Linked DNA regions of Yarrowia lipolytica. The protein of the gene in region 1 interacts with the protein of each later gene in a pairwise test. Links are inferred from orthologs where the notes say so. Each region holds a gene or a part of one and is shown in the gene's direction. Other genes may lie near its edges.

Region 1 (3,002 bases):
ACACTTTTTGTCTTGATCATAGACATACAGTAACAAGCCAAAATACAATATATACGGGGCGTTATCAGAAACAGCAAGTACGAGTGCTTGTGCTGTAAGTGCCATAGCTTGCCATTGAGGGATGTACAGCGCAAGTACCAGTACCGGTACTTCTTTCAATTCAATTCAATTGATTCCGATTTATTCATGTTGTGGTATTTTCATTACATAATTCTCCCATTAATGAGATAAATCTTGAGGTGTCTTACTTGAAATGTAGTAGCTGGCACCAGTACGGGTACTCGCACTTTTATTACGTACGTTGTATGTACTGGCATCTCACCATGTGTACACAGCACAGAGACGACGACACAAATAGACCACCCGAAAACACACCCACAAGTACTAACCGCCTCGTTCATCAAGACGGGCTCAAAAATATCCACCTCTCTCCTTCCATCTGATCCCACTGCAGGTATGTTTCAGCAGCATGGCTGTTTCAAGCTGTCGCATTGTAAACAAACATGACAACAATGCGCTAGGGACGAAAAGGCAACGATAGCGTGTTTGGCATGGGTCGGGTACCTGGCATGTAAGACACTTGAACGGAGAGACGCTGTGAGCAGAACCTGACTGGCTACTTGTAGTAAGAAATGGTAGTTAGCGTACTTTCACCACAGTACATCTGGGTGGTCACAGCAGCTGAACCTCCTGAAAGCGCAAGGATCGTATACAACTGCCAGTATTGTACTTGTATTACAATACTCGTACTCGATACACGTACAGGTAAAATATGCGTGCCTTCTATTGTACAACCAGGGTCTCCATTATACTAAATATAGAAACGGAGATTATTATTTTCCACAACACTAGGACTTCATTTCCGCACGCTTGGTGGTGGAAGGTGGAGATGCCGCTGAGAAAAACGGTCTAATGATAGTGTCAACATGGCCTCAATATAGCCTTGACATAGCCGGAAAGCAGGGTGCATTCTGAAACACAAGTGATAGGTGCCATATGTATGAGTATATACGTAGAGGGAGGTGGTTGGTTGGTGCCAGCAGTGAATTTATTACATAAACTGGGTTTTCGCACGCGATTTCACCTTTACTTGGACCCTCACCAACGTTCTCACTGGCACTCAAAGGGTCCTGCTGCTCCTCTTCAACCCTTGTGCCCCTTGTTTCGTGGCTGTTTCACATAGAGTTCATTTTCAGAGCAGTGTGGGTGAGTCGTTAGGGCGATTTAGCTCTAGCAGCCAGCAAGGTTTTTTGAAGGCCCTGACGGAGAGTAGATGAGGGAGTGTAAGGGGCGATGAGAAGCGATATTGACTGTTCGAAAGGCGTACGATTGTTCTAAAGTGCTCAAATGGTCGATTTCCGTTTCAAGCTTCTCAACAGCTCTTCAGAAACCTGCACTTTGGGGAGCCCCATTCTCCTCGTCTGTCTCCAACTAGGTTTCGTTTATGCAAAAGATGCCCCTGTCACGTTCCTTTAGTCGAATGTGTTTTGGGAAAGTCGACACTCACGCAGCTCCTGCTCCTCCTCAGACCACGACAACCGCACGACCATGAGACAGCCATTCTCGTACCGACCGCAGTTCCAGCTGGGGCTGCTGATGGGCGATCCGTTTGCGCTCTCCACCATTTCGCTCGGCATCATTGGTTGGATTATCGCCCTGGGCGGTTCCATCGGCGCCTCGGACCAGTTCAAAAACTTTGGCTGGTGGGGTCTGGCGTTCGAATTTTTTGTCATCCTGTGCGTCTTCCTCGTGGTCGCCACAGACTCGGTCGAGCCCTACCGCCAGATGCTGCTGGCGTTTCTGGCGTTGGCCACCATGTATGTGACCAACTCCACCAACAATGTGGTGTACAACGGCACATCGGCAAGCTCGGCGTCCGGCGCAGGCCACATTCTGCTCTCCATCATCAACTTTCTGTGGATGATCTATTTCGGCACAACCCACGAGGCAGGCATCCATGCGTGGGTTGACTCTTTCGCGGCCGATAAGGGTCACTCGTACAACAACGACCAGTTTGCCATGCGACGGTCTAACCCCTTCTCGCTGCATGATCAGCAGCGCCAGAGCCTTGGCGTGCCCGGCCGGCCGGTCTCCGCCTACTCAGCTGGAATGGGAGGCGTCGCCAACTACAACGGCCTGCAGCTCGGCGGGTTTGAAAACTCGTCCAATGCCGAACCACACCAGGCAAGCCCGGCCTTCTCGCAACAGCAACAGCAGCAGACGGCCACCCCACAACAGGCGACTGACTCGCTCTTTGTGGCCACAGAGTACCCATACAGAGCCCGGGCGGTTTACGCGTACCAGGCGAACCCTGAGGACGCCAACGAGATCAGTTTCGACAAGGGCGAGATTCTCGATGTCAGTGATATCAGTGGAAGATGGTGGCAAGCCCGGAGGGACAATGGAGAGATTGGTATCTGTCCTAGTAATTATGTTGAGCTGTTGGCATAGGTTTAGCAGCAGTGCGACTATGCCTTGTCTACAGGCATTCCTAACGTGAACCACAATTTCTCGTTAATACACCATCCAGCAAAGTACATCTGATGCACTCACTGCGACCGCTCACGCCACGCCTGAGCCGAGCCACTGTAAATCCAGTCGCTCTTGTTATATTCTATTTACCATATTTATGTTCTTATACTAGTAAGATATATTTACACATACGAGGCGGAGGAGGAAACAGAAACGCGGCAAGTGATACAGACAGCTCTGAAGTGCTATGATATGAGGGCAGTAAAAGAACGAGGTGATGTGGGTGTTCACTTCTCATACACTTTATACACAATATTCTTATTCGAATATATATCATTAGTTATGTTCTTTTTATTATATTTTATGGAATTAAATCTATATGTAACTCTTCGTAGCCATTATTGAAGAATGACCCAAAAACCAAACTCTCCATATCTTATGGTGGTAGAGGACACACCGTATACACAGCCTTCCTCAACACGAGCACACACCAGTTTGCGTACTAAAAAGACAATATGTCAAGTATTATT
Region 2 (3,719 bases), on another chromosome or scaffold:
TGATGAGAGTCTTGGTCTGGGCCAGCAGCTTGTTGTTGGAGTCTTCGACTTCGGCAATCTTCTTGTTGTTCTGTTCGATAACTCCCACCAGCACCTTCATGTGGTTGGCCAGCCGACGGTTCTCGGCGTTGCGCTCCTTAAGAGACTTGCACACTCGCTGGTACACGTCTTTGAGCGACGTGTATGTCGTCATAAGGGTGTGTTGCGACATGAGCTGCTGCTTGAGCTCTCTGACGGAGGCAAACGAGTCTGTGACCGAGTTGTCTGACCCTCCGGTGGCAAAGAAGTCGTCTTCGGGAGACAAGTTGAAGATCTTGCCCAGGTACTCGTCCATGTTCTGTTTGGACTCGGGCTCCTCAGTTGCGGAGGCAAGAGTGGAGGGAGGCATAGAGGGACTAACAGACGAGGCGGCAGACGAGGACACAGAGGGAATGTGGCTGTAGGAGTAGCAGGGGGGTTGTGGAAGATCCATAGTCGATGCAAGAAACTCAGGCAGAGAGCCCGAGTCGGGGGGGCTATGGATTTCTTCGATCTTTACGGGTTCGGGGCTGATCTCGGTTTTGATATCCCTCTTGGTCTCTGCAGAGACCGTGTGGATATTCTCCTCGTCATCGTCCTCGATCTCGATGATCTCTATGGGTTTGATCTCCTTCTTGAGATCCTTATCATCGCATTCGGATCCGGGCGTCAGAGAGTTGGGAGTGGCGAGATTCACGTCGTCGGGCTCCGACTTGTACGCAAGATCTCGCTCCAGCATGCGCGCCATTTCCTGGTCCTCGGAATCCTTCTCCAGCTTGACCTTTTTGGCTGGAGATGCCGGCTCCGTCTCTAGAGCCCTCTTGCCATGCTCGGGACTGTTGGAGGGGTCTCCATGGGGCGACGATTCCTTCTTCCAGTCGTCGTTAAAGTCCTGCTCGAACAGCTGGTCAATTGTGTTCATTGCTGACGGCGTCAGTTGTCGGGTAGCTGTGCTCTGTTTGGTACTATGTTGTGTGTTGTGCGAAAATTCACTGTTCGATTTTTTTGCCTTCATGCACTTTGGGCGAAAAAAAAAATTTGAAGTTATGCAGGCAACATTGTTTTCGGCACTGTTGATGATACCCGATAAGACAGGGATATGGCGACCTATATATAGCTAGCTGGGGGCTGGAGCCGTTACAGAGGGGATGTGGCGACTGTGCTCTAAAAATTAGTTTGGCCACTGCAAGTATATAAATATATATACATACGTGTCCTCCAGACAACCATCCCCATACACACTTAGTACCTTTCTCTATCATAGCCCGGCCATTAGAGAGCCGCACAGGTCAACCATAAAGAGAATCAGAGCAGGTAGGTGACGATGCTGAGTTCAATGCAACCGACGAGGATAGCAAACAAACACAGAGTTGCATACTTGTAGTTAGCATGCGACATTATGTTTGTTGCCGGAAAATCCAACATATTCGACATTTCTGGATGAAGAGAAGCGGTTGTGGTCTCACCGGTGCCACTACTCCATATTATATAATCATGCAATGCAATATGTAGGTGGTGAAGTTTAAAATATTTTTTTCCCCTAGGCCCCAACATCACAGAATTATCACCAAGCACCAGCAGACCAGCACCATATACAGCAGCCAATAGACAACCAACCATGTCTGAAGCACCAAAGAAGAAGCCGGCCTGGAAGACGGCCCGAAACAAGGAGCTCCGTAAGGATCTCAAGCGGGTGGAGAGCCACACCCAGGAGGCCAAGGAGGCGGCGAAAAAGACAGAAATGCTGCTGTTGGAGGAACAGGGCTTTCTAGAGGCCGAAAACGAAATGGAGGCGACCCACAAGGTGACGCAGGAGGAGATCAAGGCGTCGGTTGATATTTCCACCAAGAAAAAGGCCTACGACCTCAAGCTGCCCGACTTTGGCCCCTATGACATCAACTTCACCCGAACAGGCCGAAAGCTGCTCATTGGAGGCCGAAAGGGCCATGTGGCAGCGTTTGACTGGCGAGAGGGACGTCTACAGTTTGAACTCAACCTCAACGAGACTGTTCGTGCGGTCCAGTGGCTCCATAACGACCAATACTTTGCTGTGGCCCAGAAAAGGAATGTCTTCATCTATGACCACCAGGGATCCGAAGTACACAGACTCAAGCAGCAGATCGAAATGACCAACCTCGATTTCCTGCCCTACCACTACCTGCTCGTATCGTCGGGTCTCACCAGCATGCTCTTTTACCAGGATGTATCTATTGGTAAGCAAGTGGCTGCCTTCAAGACCAGACTGGGCCCCACCACCTCCCAGTGCCAGAACCCCTATAATGCCATCATGAATCTCGGCCACTCCAACGGAACCGTGACCATGTGGTCGCCCAACGTGGACGAGCCTCTGGTCAAGATGCTGGCCCATCGAGGCCCCGTGAACGACGTTTCTGTCGACCGATCAGGACGATACCTGGCCACGGCTGGCTCCGACTCGTCCGTCAAGGTCTGGGATATCAGAAACACCTACAAGGAGGTGCTGCGTCTGCCCCGAACCAAGGTGGCGCCCCAGACGGTTAACTGGTCTGACTCCAACCTGCTTTCTGTGGGCCACGGAAACACCATCACCGTGTGGAAGGACGTGCAATCTGCTCCTCGACCCAAGCAGCCCTATATGCAACACAACATGCATCCCGACTGGAAGGTGAGCAGCGCGCAGTTTGTGCCGTTTGAAGACATCCTTGGAGTAGGCCACTCCGAGGGCTTCTCTTCACTCATCATTCCCGGAGCCGGAGAGGCCAACTTTGACGCTCTGGAAGTCAACCCTTACCAGACGCGACACCAGCGACGAGAGGAGGAGGTGCGAACACTGCTGCAGAAGCTCCAGCCCGAGATGATCACCATGGATCCCGAAGACATTGGACGAATCGCCATGGACAAGGACCGGCGACGAAAGACGGCCCGAGAGCAGATGGAGGAGATCACGGAGCCCAACAAGAAGCGGGCACAAGAGTCGGACGACGACATGCCCGAGCTGCAACCCCATCTGGCCGACGAGGAGACGGCCGTCAGCAAGGAGCTGCAAAAGAAGAAAAAGAAGGGTGTGGTGGACGAGCGGCAGATGCGACTGGAGCAGCTTCAGGAGCGAGAGCGACGAATGCGAGAGAACAAAAAGCGACGACTGGAGGAGGGATATGTGGAGGAGTACGTGTCTCCTGCTATCTCCAGATTTCAGCAGAGACAATAGATAATTTATGCATATTGAACGAGCAAAAGTACAAGGCAAGTAATAGCAGACCGGCTGCTGACAGATGGAGTGGCCAAGTGAATCTGTACGCGTAGATGTAGTAAAAGAGCTACTGCTTATCGGTCCATCTCTTGTACCCAGGCATGGGAACACGAGTAAATACTGTACTGCGTCTCTTCAGATATTCTTTACTAGTGAAAGACCAACAGCGACTGGCTCGTTTCGAAAGTAGTCTCTTGATTACATGCTGTCTGTACTTTTACCGGTATGTGCGAACAGATTCATATGAATCGAACATGAGATAACGAGCCACCGAGCCACTCCTTTTCAGGCAGCTGATACTTAGGGTCTTGCTGCTGACTCGTTTATGAGTTGGCCCAGTGTAGTCATGTTTACGTTGGATCTAGCTGAAGAGAAGTGCCGTCGATATCATGGACCAGTGGCAACACATTACAATAGAAGGGACTTCGTTCAATCCCGCTTTTCTCGTCGTCTAGTTTTCAACTCCATGTTC
Region 3 (5,959 bases), on another chromosome or scaffold:
AAACGAAAAACGACACAAGGAGAGCCCAGTGAAAGGACCAGAGTCAAAACGTTTCCAGGATACCGGATACCTCCCGTGGGCCAGCTCCAAGTGGTGGTATCCAACCTGCAAAAGACAGCAGTCAAGCTCTTTCTGATACCCTACAACGTTGCTGAAATGCCCAGCGGCACCCGAACATTTATTCGGCAAAAGGTCTATTCTGCATCGAGCACCCCTGGCTCCAAAGGCACCCTAGTCCATGCTGCACACATTCCTATCGTTCGTCTGGACAATGACAAGCTGTATCTTTGCGGGGACATTCGTCTGGTGTTCCAGAACCGAGTGTTGAACGGTGGTGCAATGAACGACACGACCTTAACTTCTCAGGAGCCTTCCAAGGACAATAACGATTTCACCAAGCACTACCTAGGCCTCGGGAGATCAAAGGACAACATGGTGATTGAGGAGATGATGGGCGGATGGTCCAAGGTGTCTGAGACACCAGCATGTTCACAATGAGCGCCGAACCACTCTATTTATTTGCATTAGCGTACAGAACTCTTGCTGACGCCTTACTCCCTACTGATTTGATATTCTTGTGTACCTTCGAAGGTGCATCCCTTTTGGTCATTGTATTTACGCATCAATCCATACCCCATCCTGACATCTGAATGGCTTTGTAATAGTACATACCTTACATACTGTACAGCTCATACATACCGTCGCTTAGTGATAGATTTGCATCAACAGAAATGTGGCTTAACACGCAACCTTTCGCGGGTATATGGTATTTTTTTTATTCTACAGTAGGGAAATACATTGCAGCTACTGAGGGCTGTGTGCACCCAACAGGGTCATGAAACAGGCGTTTTGGGCATATCCGTTTATGGCAGCAAGATTACTGTAATTAATTATCGTCCTGGTAAAATTGCCTTGTCCACCAATACTGTAGATGACGTCATCAGTGTATATTGAGTGGACGAAATGTTGCCCTAACAATAAATATTATTGGAGAAAAGCGCGATTCGCCTCTGCTTTTATCCTATTTACCCGATCATATTCAAGTATTATTGCTGTCTACCTCATTTGCGCCTTCATCCCCAGACGCTTATTAATGCGTCGGCTTTTTATAGGTTGCTCCCAACAGCGGTGACCATAAAATTGAGACACAGTTGACCTGCACACAAACCAGCCACCGACGCGTGTCGGTAGCGAAGTCAAAGTTAACCCCTTAGCTAAAAAGTCGTCTATTTATAGCCGCCTCACGTGGTGCATTGCAGGGACTATTGTCGATGACGAGTCCGCTGGAGGCGAAAAAGCGACAAAGAACCGAAATCTGTCATTTGTTTCTGCGCCGGAAATACTGTACCTGCTTTATGACTCAAACATTGGTGTACTTTTTTTTTAGCCTCCTGGGGTTTACCCTTCGCCATAATAAGACTACTTTGTAGGTGCCCATACAGCTCAAAATTTTAAGTTTGTATATTTTTGGAACGCAGTCCAAGGAAAAACAGAAACCTTCGAACATCGAAATCCTTACTTTACTACAGTACAGTAGCTGGATATTGCACCTGAGCTTCACAAAGTGAGTACATTTCGACTAAATTGTTCAAGCGCGCGGAGCAATCACAAGAAGTGAGTACGCGGCCCACGACTGGACCTGCGTTACGCGTTCTGTTCCCCACAAGACCACGTTTTTTTTTTCTTTTCTTTCTTTCATTACACCCCCTCCCCTGACGTGTGGTCCAACAGCAAACACATGACTAACACAGTGGATTCGTACAACAAATTCGGATTCAACTCGGAGACGGGTGAGCCCAACACTGGCCCCCAGGACACATCTGGCAGTGTCCCCAGTGAACACAGAGGCGACGGCTCGTTCTCCCCCGACATTGGACGAAAGAAGTCTCTCATTCGACCTGACCGAGCTCGACTCGACCCCGACTCGCGAACTTATCACTACTCGCAGCTGGCCGCCCAGCAGCAAAGCAGAATCAACGTGCTTCCCAGTTCCACCGGAAATGACCCTATTCTCGAGGAGCACTACATGCGCGAGACTGGCGAGATCCAGCCTGGTCAGGGATACGATCAGCCCTACGACAACGCCGTGAACCAGGAGGTGCTAGAGGAGGAAAACGAGGAATCATACAGAGAGGGAGAGGAGGACCCTTACGCCTACTCGGGCCGTCAGGTCTATGGTCTCAATGACGAGGTCCAAACCGAGGCCTACGTGCGAAAGTCGGACGAAATCTCCTCATCAGAAGAACAGGCTGCCGACACCCAACCGCCCATCATCGACCCACCTGTCAACGAAAAGGTTCAGCTCAGCCGTGGAGGAGGAACACTGAAGCGACACAACTCCGTCAAGCGACGAATGGGCACCCAACCCAAGCAGATTTCGCTGTGGATGACCTACTGTCAGATTGTTACCTTCTGGGCCCCCGCTCCTGTGCTCAAGATGTTTGGCATGCCCCAAAAAGCCCGACAGGACGCCTGGCGAGAAAAGATTGGCCTCATCACTGTTATTCTTTACATTGCCGCCTTTGTTGCATACCTGACTTTCGGCTTCACCATCACAGTTTGTTCCAGTTCCATCACCCGAGTGCGAAACGGAGAAGTCAACTCTGGAAACCTCATCATTAATGGTAAGCAATACGACTTTACCTCTATGAACCACCCTCCCACAGTCGAGGTTCCTACTGGCGGTAACTTCATGTACCCTCCTGTTAATGCTGGATCCATGGACGGTTCTTTGCTGTTCCAGAACGTCAACAACCACTGCAAGGGTCTAATCACCCCCAAGCCCGACTGTAAAATTCCCTACAACGGCGACAGCGTTGCCTGGTATATGCCCTGCCAGCTGCTCAACCAGGACGGATCTTCCCAACCCAACACTACTGAGCAGTTCTACCCCGGCTACGCATGCCACACTTCCACCACCGCTCGAAACGTCTACTACCACCAGCTGGTTGATGCCGGTGAGGTCTACTTCACCTGGGACGATATCAAGAACTCTACTCGAAACCTGGCTGTGTTCAACGGAGCTGTCATTGACCTGAACATGGTCAACTTCATTCTTAAGGACGACCTCAACTACCCCGAGATCTTTGACACTCTGCGAGATGACGATTCCATCAAGGGTACTGATATCTCTCGTAATATGGCCAACGGTCCTGATCGACAGGCTGCCCGATGTCTGCAAGAGATTGCCAAGGTTGGATACATTGATACCGAGCAGATTGGATGTCTGGCTTCCCAGGTTGTTCTGTATGTATCTCTGGTTTTCATTATCTCCATTGTCGCCGTCAAGTTCCTATTTGCTATCTACTACAAGTGGGCCATTTCTGCCAAGCAGGGAGCTTTCCCCATTGACAACAAGCAGATGAACCAGCGAGAGAACGAGATTGAGGACTGGTCCGAGAACATTTACAGCCAGGCTCCCATCAAGCGAGTGGACCGAGACCAGCCTAAGTCCAGTGCCACTCCCTTCCGTGGCCTCATCAAGCACCGATTCAACCAGCACGACAATAAGAACAAGCGAATGAGCACAATGGTGACCCAGGTTGGTGAGAGTGGAACTGCTCCTTCCGTCTACTCTCGAAACTCCGCTGCGATCGACTCCAACACTGATGTTGGCGGTGTTGTCTACGATTACGACTCTGGATCTCAGCCCTACGAGGCGCCCACCGTCAACGTTGTGCCCCAGCCCCCCATCGACTACCAACCGTTCAACTACCCTCTCGCCCACACCATGTGTCTGGTGACTGCATACTCCGAGTCGATTGACGGTCTGAGAACCACCCTTGACTCTATCACCACAACCGACTACCCTAACTCCCATAAACTCATTGTTATCATTGCCGATGGTATTATTAAGGGTTCCGGTAACGACATGTCTACCCCTGACATTTGTCTAAGTATGATGTGTGATATGCCTATCCCCGAAGACCAGGTGAGACCCTTCTCTTACGTATCTACTTCTTCTGGTACAAAGCGTCATAACATGGCCAAGGTCTACTCTGGTTTCTACGCCTACGATGATGCCACAGTTCCACCTGAGAAGCAGCAGCGAGTCCCCGTTGTGACTATTGTCAAGTGCGGTACGCCTGCTGAGGCCAACGAGGCCAAGCCTGGTAACCGAGGTAAGCGAGACTCCCAGATCATTCTCATGTCGTTCTTGCAGCGTGTCATGTTCGACGAGCGAATGACCGAGCTGGAGCACGAGATGTTCAACGGTATCTGGCGAGTGACTGGTATTCTTCCCGACTTTTATGAAATCATTCTCATGGTGGATGCCGATACTAAGGTGTTCCCTGACTCTCTGACCCACATGGTGGCTGAGATGGTCAAGGATCCCGAGATTATGGGACTATGTGGAGAAACCAAGATTGCCAACAAGCGAGACTCTTGGGTCACTGCGATCCAGGTGTTTGAATACTACATTTCTCATCACCAGGCTAAGGCCTTTGAGTCCGTCTTTGGTGGTGTCACTTGTCTGCCTGGTTGTTTCTCCATGTACCGAATCAAGGCTCCCAAGGGCGGAGACGGCTACTGGGTGCCCATTCTTGCCAACCCTGATATCGTCGAGCGATACGCTGACAACGTGATTGACACTCTGCATAAGAAGAACCTGTTGCTTCTCGGAGAAGATCGATACCTGACCTCCCTCATGCTCAAGACCTTCCCCACGCGAAAACAGGTGTTTGTGTCCAAGGCTGTCTGCAAGACCATTGTTCCCGACAAGTTTTCTGTTTTGCTGTCTCAGCGAAGACGATGGATTAACTCCACTGTGCATAACCTGATGGAGCTGGTGCTGGTCAAGGATCTATGTGGTGTCTTCTGTATTTCCATGCAGTTTGTTGTCTTCATCGAGCTTGTTGGTACCCTGATTCTTCCCGCCGCCATCTCGTTCACCATCTACGTTGTCATTATTGCCATTGTGAGAAAACCTACGCCTGTCATGTCGCTGGTTCTGCTGGCTCTGATTTTGGGTCTGCCGGGTCTTCTCATTATCATCACAGCATCTCGATGGTCATACGTCGTGTGGATGTTCATCTACCTGCTATCTCTTCCCATTTGGAACTTTGTGCTCCCCGTCTACGCATACTGGAAGTTTGATGATTTCTCCTGGGGTGACACTCGACAGGTTGCTGGTGAAAAGAAGGGCTCTGGAGGCCACGACGAGGAGGATGGTGAATTTGACTCGTCTCAGATTGTCATGAAGCGATGGAGAGACTTTGAAATGGACAAGCGACGCTACGTGCCACTGCCTCCCCAGAACGCGTGGATGAGCGATCCTCACATGCCTTCTTACAACCACCAAGGATTTTCTGCTAACTCTTCCCCTGCTCTTAGACCCCAGGGCTCTTCTCATGTCTACTCGGACTCGGTTGCCGGAGCCAGTGACTACAACGTTGCTCAAGGCCACGAAGTACTTTAAGGCGTCAAGCCAAAAGCATATATATAATCATGATAAAATTACCGTGTTAACGATGTGTAGCTAGAATCTGTATTGCAATAAATTAAAACGAATGCTGACCAGTAGCAATTCGGTGTAGGAGCTGGAGGGATCCTTGGATTCCAGCCTCAAAATGTCTGGTGAGATACGACCGGCTGTCCTTGGGGGAAATGAATATGGCCAGAATGACACTGGTGAGTCCGATACACAGAGAGAAGAAGAAGATACGTCGGATGGAAATGGACGACGACGAGTTTTTCTTAGAAAGCTTGTTCTGTTCCCGCTGCTGGTTGCGCTTGTCAATGAGTTTCTGGCGGGCCAAACGTTCGTTTTCCTCCCGCACTTCGGACTCCTTAATTTGTAACGAGAGGTATGAGCTAATCAGCGAGGGTGCTGTAGCGGAAGAAGACATGCTGTTAGACGACAGAATGGACTCTGACGGAGATTCAGCCTGGGGCGATTGCGCAGCTGTCGTCTTCAATACAGAGTAGTTTGACAGTTTATGCCAGGCCGGATAATTTT
Region 4 (5,435 bases), about 880 kb from region 1:
GTCCACTGAGCCGACGAGGGTGCCGGCGAAATGTCCGCGAACCGGGGCTTCACGTCCGGCAGGCATCCAGAACTATCAACGTGTATCAGATTTCACTGTGTGTGAAACCACATGAGAAAAAAGAACTTGCCTTCCAATATATTCCTGCGGTTTGTACGCGTGCCTCCATGTTCCAGGCATACACAAGGCACCCGTAACTTTGACAAGTGTACCTTGTAGAACATGATTTCGTGGAAAAGGGGCGAGTATAGAACAGAATAGAAGAAGTTCAGAACTCGTACCAGACATAGACTAAGTCTGAGGACATTCTCATCACATGACACGCTGTTCTCAAATGTCCAGAAGTGCTCCAATCCAAGGCGCGGCTGGTTCCACAGTGATGCTCGCACTTCAGTCTCTACAGTCTCAGCCCCATGCTTTGTCTGTCTCAATACAATTGTTCCACAAAGCTTATCGTTGGGAGGAAGAACCAGCAGCTCCGAAAAGTTAACAAAGGGTGCATTTTTAGAACAAGTTACCACAGGCGCTTTTTTCGTGTTTGGTGGGGCGCGTGGGGTATTGAAAAAATATAGACCATGGCTCCACAGCACAGTGTTGGATATTAGCGGGAATATTATTCATGGAAACAAGTCAAGAGACACATAGACAGTCGCAATCATCTTCATTATTCTCCATCTCCAATTCCAGCGATCCTTTGACCCTTTCCTCACTGCCCCTCACCTCACTGGCGATCAACGGCCCGCATGAAAATCCTGCCCTCTCCATTCCGTGACCAACCGCGTATATGTGCCCTCCACACGTGTGGGTGGGACTTGCAGAGCCGAGAGACGAGTGTTTCAATGGAAAAAATAATCACAAAATAATATTGCCGACACCAGCCTGGTGGAATCTCGCTGGAGTGACACTCTTGGTCCGTACAGTTGTACTGTAATATTATTGCACTAGTTAAGACATGAGTATAGGCCACTGTAGCCCAGGTCATTAGTGTGTGAAAGCGCACTAAAGCTACAGTAATTGTAGCATAATCACCACGAATAGACAGAAAACATTCCGGTTAGCGGGATATCATAGCAATAGCACGTTTTACTTATGGTATCAAGTCTCATTCTAGATCAGTCAGTTGTTTTGTTCCAGGTAGAGCAGTCGGATGCTGCTGTACCTGGTAGACCCGGCATGGGTCGTTATTGCAGTACAGCGGCTCTTCCTCTCGGTTGTCCATCAATGGTTTTGTGAGAAGAATGTACGGTTGCAGTCAGACGATACATGACGCACGTAAGGAGGTGGCGGTGGGCTGCGAGCAGGCCAGCAGGCCAGCAGGTGCACTGGTGGAACGGGAGAGGAGCAACATTGGGTCGATAACTCCGCTCATCGGGATATCCACTGGTCTCAACCCCTATTTCACCTCGCACTCGCCCCATGCTAATTTACAGTCCACTCTGTGACCGTCTTGCTTTTTCCCAATTTTGGCTTCTGCACTGTATTATGGGCGCCCCATTGTCTTCCTCCATAAACTTTGATATGCATGATCGGGCATGCTCGCTCAAACCTTGGACTGTTTGGCCCGTGCCTAAATAGGGTCTACGGAGAGGGACCACTGTAAAGCTCAGTAGGAGAAGAGCAGACCAGCTGCAAACGACATCTCCGGCCTTGGGTTTTGCGATCCTACACATCATCCTTGCTGCAATTGTTCTCCTACAAGTTTACACTACACCCTTGCCGCACGACTCATCTGATCCGACCCGGTCTCTACAAGTACGATACTTTGGAAAGATCAGATTGAACCTCTTCAACCAGCTTACACACCATTACACATCATGACCGACACCTTCACGGTTCCGTACCTGCCCTGCCAGGTCAAGGCCATCTACTCGTGGTCGGGCGAGGAAGACAACGACCTGGGCTTCATTGAAGGAGACATCATTGACGTCCTCAACACGGGAGACGGAAACTGGTGGACTGGCAAACTACGACGAAACAACGTCACTGGAGTGTTCCCTCGCAACTTTGTGGTTCTGGACGAGCCCAAGGGCGGCCGACGACCCCACCAGCCGCCTCAGAAACGGTACACTCTGTGTGACGGAGACGACAGCTACAACGGAGGATACAGCTCAGCTGACGCTTCTCAGGTGTCTCTGGAGCTGACGAGGTCTCCCTCGACTGAAGTGTCTGCTCTGGACATTGCTAAGCCCGTCAATGGCGGTTACAAGTCTTTGGATCCCGCTCAATCTTCGCCACAGTCTTTTGACCCACTTGCTAAGCTAAGTATGCATCTTCAGAGTATTGATCTGGGACATGATCCACTGTACCCTCCTGTTCCTCCTCATGGAGTGAAGCAAACCTCCAACACACGCAGCGGCAATCAGTCTACAAACTCACACAATGCCACCTACGACAAATACTCATCTCTGTCTAACCACAAAAGAACCAACTCGGATGATGGTAACTTTTCTGGCGACTTTTCCGGAGACTACTCTGGGGATCTGGTCAACCACAAGTTTGACAGAGACATTACTCCACGACACAATGGTCTCGACCGGACGCCATCGCCGCTCAGAAACGCCATGGACGACGTTCTGCTGAGTCTAGATGGTATGAAACAAGGTGCTAGAGCACAACAAGACTACAGAGATTTCACACCTACCAAAGACAGACCATACGGGGCTGTCCATACGCCAATGGCGTACCGACCTGAGGCAAGGAGACAGTTGTCGTACCACGAGAAACGGTCCTCTTGGATCCAAAGTGCAGGCCAGAAGACTTTTCATATGGGCGACAATGAGAGTGCGGCTTCTTCAGACGACGAAGAAGATGTTCCATTTTCTCCCGACTCTTATGGCAAGCTTCCATTTTCGCCTGACTCGTACAGTGGGGGTTCTGCTGGAGTCCATCGAGCAGACACTGTCAACTCGTACTCCTCGGAGATGACAAAAATGTCTGGGGTTTCGGGCTGTTCTTTGCCGACCACTGTGTCTGATTTCAGTGCCACTTCTGCTGCTGACTTCCACATGCGCCAGGGTCTCCACGAAGTGACCACAAAGTACATGGCTGACATTGAGTCCACTATGAAGACAGATTCCGCTGACTACGATGCCACGGAGGTGCCCGTGGCTCTGCCCAACCAGTTGGGTCCCGAGAAGTCGCTCAAGATGCGAAAGTCCACGGGCTTCCTCAAGAAGTTCATTAAGAAGGTGACCAACACAGTTCCTTCTTCAGGCTCGACTCCAAACATGTACAAGACAGCATTTGTGGAGTCTTCGCCGTCTTCACGAGCTTCGCCCAAACGAACCGCTTCCATCAAGTCCAACAAGTCCAGTCGCTCGCTCCGGTCCATCAAGTCTCTGTCGGCAATCTCCTTCTCCTCCAGCAACTTCAGCTCCGCAGCTCTCATGAGCGAACCAAGCAAGACCAGCAATGTCAAGCAGTCGGCTGTGGATCCCAAACAGTGGATTGAGATTCGCCAGAATGTCCACAGGGCCAACACCGTTACCGCTGTGGAACGTAAGGAGCGGCAGAAGAAACTGGCTCTGGAGGGTATCAGATGCATTGAGCCGCTCAAGAAAACAGCGCAACTCATCTCGCCACGGAAGATTGAAACTGATCTCAGTCACGTGGACCGCTACGTGCGAACACAAATGTCTTCGCTTGCGTCGTCGTCCACTCCCCACCTGCTCATGTCCAGACATGTCATGCCACAGTTCCAATATGAGATTGAACGGCTCCGAGCTGTCTTCATGTTCTGTTCCGAGAAGCTCAAGTGGACTGGAGACCATGCCGAGAGATATGACATTGACTTACAAGCGACGATGCAAAGCCGAAAGGCCACCACTCAGGAAGTGGCCATGTTGGTGTCGCATATGTGTGCTGCCTTGGGAGTGCACTGCCAGGTTATCCCAGGTATGCTCAAGGCCCCTGGAGGGGTGTTTGACTCGCGATCCACACTAACACCAAACCACTTCTGGAATGCGGTGCTTGTGGATGACCAATGGCGAGTCATGGACTGCACTCTTGCCAACCCTTCGTTCCCGCTGCGATATCAGTACTCTGCAGCCAGTGATCGAGCCTGCGACGACTTTTACTTCCTCGCTTCCCCTGCGGAGGCCATCTACACGCACATCCCCACCAAGGAGACGTACCAGCATCTTGAGCCCGGCCCTCTGGATCTCATGACCGCTCTTGCACTGCCTGTGCTGTGTCCTAAGTACTGGGACACGCGGGTCAAGCTCACCAACTACGACACCACTCTGATGCGGCTCAAGAACCTCGAGGTCGGAGAAGTGACCTTCACTGTGTCTCCAGACATGGAGATCTTTGCGGACGTGCAACCGGGCTCTTTTGCTGCCCATGGACACTCGGCCATGCTTGAATACGCAGCCTCCAGAACCATCCAAAAGGTGCCCACCTTGTGCCAGGTGTACTGGGAGTTTGGCAAGCGAATCTACCGGGTCAAGGCCGTTCTTCCTCCTGGTTTCGCACAGGGACTGGTCAACGTCTATTGTGGTCCCAAGGGCAAGAACTCATCGCACAGAAAGAACCACCATCCTGTCGTGGCAGCCTTCCCCATCACACACAGTGGAACCACTCAGCAGTTTGAGTTTGTCATCAGACATCCCACTCCTCACTGCAAGCTGCAGGATCTCTATGTGGTCCAACCCCAGTGCTACAAACTCACAGTCGGCAACATCTACCACTTTGCCATCAAGCAGCACCCCAGCTCGGGCATCAACTCTGGCTCCGGCTTTGCCCGCACCAAAATCGCCATTCAGCCTCCTTCGGGCAAAATCACAAAACTCGTGCTCAAGGAAGACGACTCCACCACCACCCACGGGCTCTGGGAGCTCAGTGTCAAGTGTACCGAAAGCGGCCCCTGGCGGGCGCTGGTGCTCACTGACAGTGGCAGTGCATGGAGCGTCTTTGCTGAATGGCTCTGTAGCTAACATTATTTATATAGATTGATTAATTGTACAACGTGTTTGTTTCATGGTCGTATGTATGGTTCCACTCAGATGCCAATGCCATGTTGTGTATACGATAAGTAGGGACAAGTACACATAACCGGTATGTACTAATTTGTACAGTGGTAGAAGTTCATACCTCCTGCGAACATCGTACGCACTGTCGTTTAAGATAGATGTGGTACCCGCACTGCGGTCTATGTAGCTACAGTCGCCCAGGCTTACATTGTGTTGCCTCACTCACACACCTGCTCTATTTCTATTCAGATGGTCTAATATATATTTATGGTGTCGTTTTGGGGGTCTAGAAGATGTTAAGAAGGTGGTAAGGGTAGCCGCCGTTCTTGATGTGGAACTTGGCCAGCAGAAAGCTGTAGGCCACCAGAATGACGATACACAGAGCCAGGGTGACACCAACCTGCTTGCTTCCAGTGTTAAGAGAAGGGGCTCGGAGAGCCAGAGAAATCACGCAAAAAGCCAAGA

What was found.
Region 2: the proteins of YALI1_D05070g (region 1) and YALI1_F13446g interact in a two-hybrid assay, tested with the Saccharomyces cerevisiae proteins (2 studies listed by BioGRID). The link is inferred for Yarrowia lipolytica from reciprocal best matches to the Saccharomyces cerevisiae genes SHO1 and UTP7.
Region 3: the proteins of YALI1_D05070g (region 1) and YALI1_C33406g interact in a two-hybrid assay, tested with the Saccharomyces cerevisiae proteins (2 studies listed by BioGRID, with this or other methods). The link is inferred for Yarrowia lipolytica from reciprocal best matches to the Saccharomyces cerevisiae genes SHO1 and CHS3.
Region 4: the proteins of YALI1_D05070g (region 1) and YALI1_D13916g interact in binary tests that used the Saccharomyces cerevisiae proteins (3 or more experiments, as listed by UniProt). The link is inferred for Yarrowia lipolytica from reciprocal best matches to the Saccharomyces cerevisiae genes SHO1 and CYK3.

What each region holds. Positions count from the first base shown.
Region 1 is NC_090773.1:505,628-508,629, reverse strand, and holds YALI1_D05070g (uncharacterized protein), read left to right. Parts: upstream 1-1,548; coding exon 1,549-2,451; downstream 2,452-3,002. UniProt on the Saccharomyces cerevisiae protein: Plasma membrane osmosensor that activates the high osmolarity glycerol (HOG) MAPK signaling pathway in response to high osmolarity.
Region 2 is NC_090775.1:1,342,553-1,346,271, reverse strand, and holds YALI1_F13446g (uncharacterized protein), read left to right. Parts: upstream 1-1,636; coding exon 1,637-3,205; downstream 3,206-3,719. Other genes in the region: YALI1_F13452g (uncharacterized protein), read right to left, coding at 1-1,033. UniProt on the Saccharomyces cerevisiae protein: Involved in nucleolar processing of pre-18S ribosomal RNA.
Region 3 is NC_090772.1:3,336,397-3,342,355, reverse strand, and holds YALI1_C33406g (uncharacterized protein), read left to right. Parts: upstream 1-1,738; coding exon 1,739-5,419; downstream 5,420-5,959. Other genes in the region: YALI1_C33427g (uncharacterized protein), read left to right, coding at 1-498; YALI1_C33354g (uncharacterized protein), read right to left, coding at 5,502-5,959. UniProt on the Saccharomyces cerevisiae protein: Polymerizes chitin, a structural polymer of the cell wall and septum, by transferring the sugar moiety of UDP-GlcNAc to the non-reducing end of the growing chitin polymer.
Region 4 is NC_090773.1:1,388,043-1,393,477, reverse strand, and holds YALI1_D13916g (uncharacterized protein), read left to right. Parts: upstream 1-1,814; coding exon 1,815-4,934; downstream 4,935-5,435. Other genes in the region: YALI1_D13871g (uncharacterized protein), read right to left, coding at 5,257-5,435. UniProt on the Saccharomyces cerevisiae protein: Involved in cytokinesis by recruiting INN1 to the bud neck. Cooperates with INN1 to stimulate the synthesis of the primary septum (PS) by CHS2.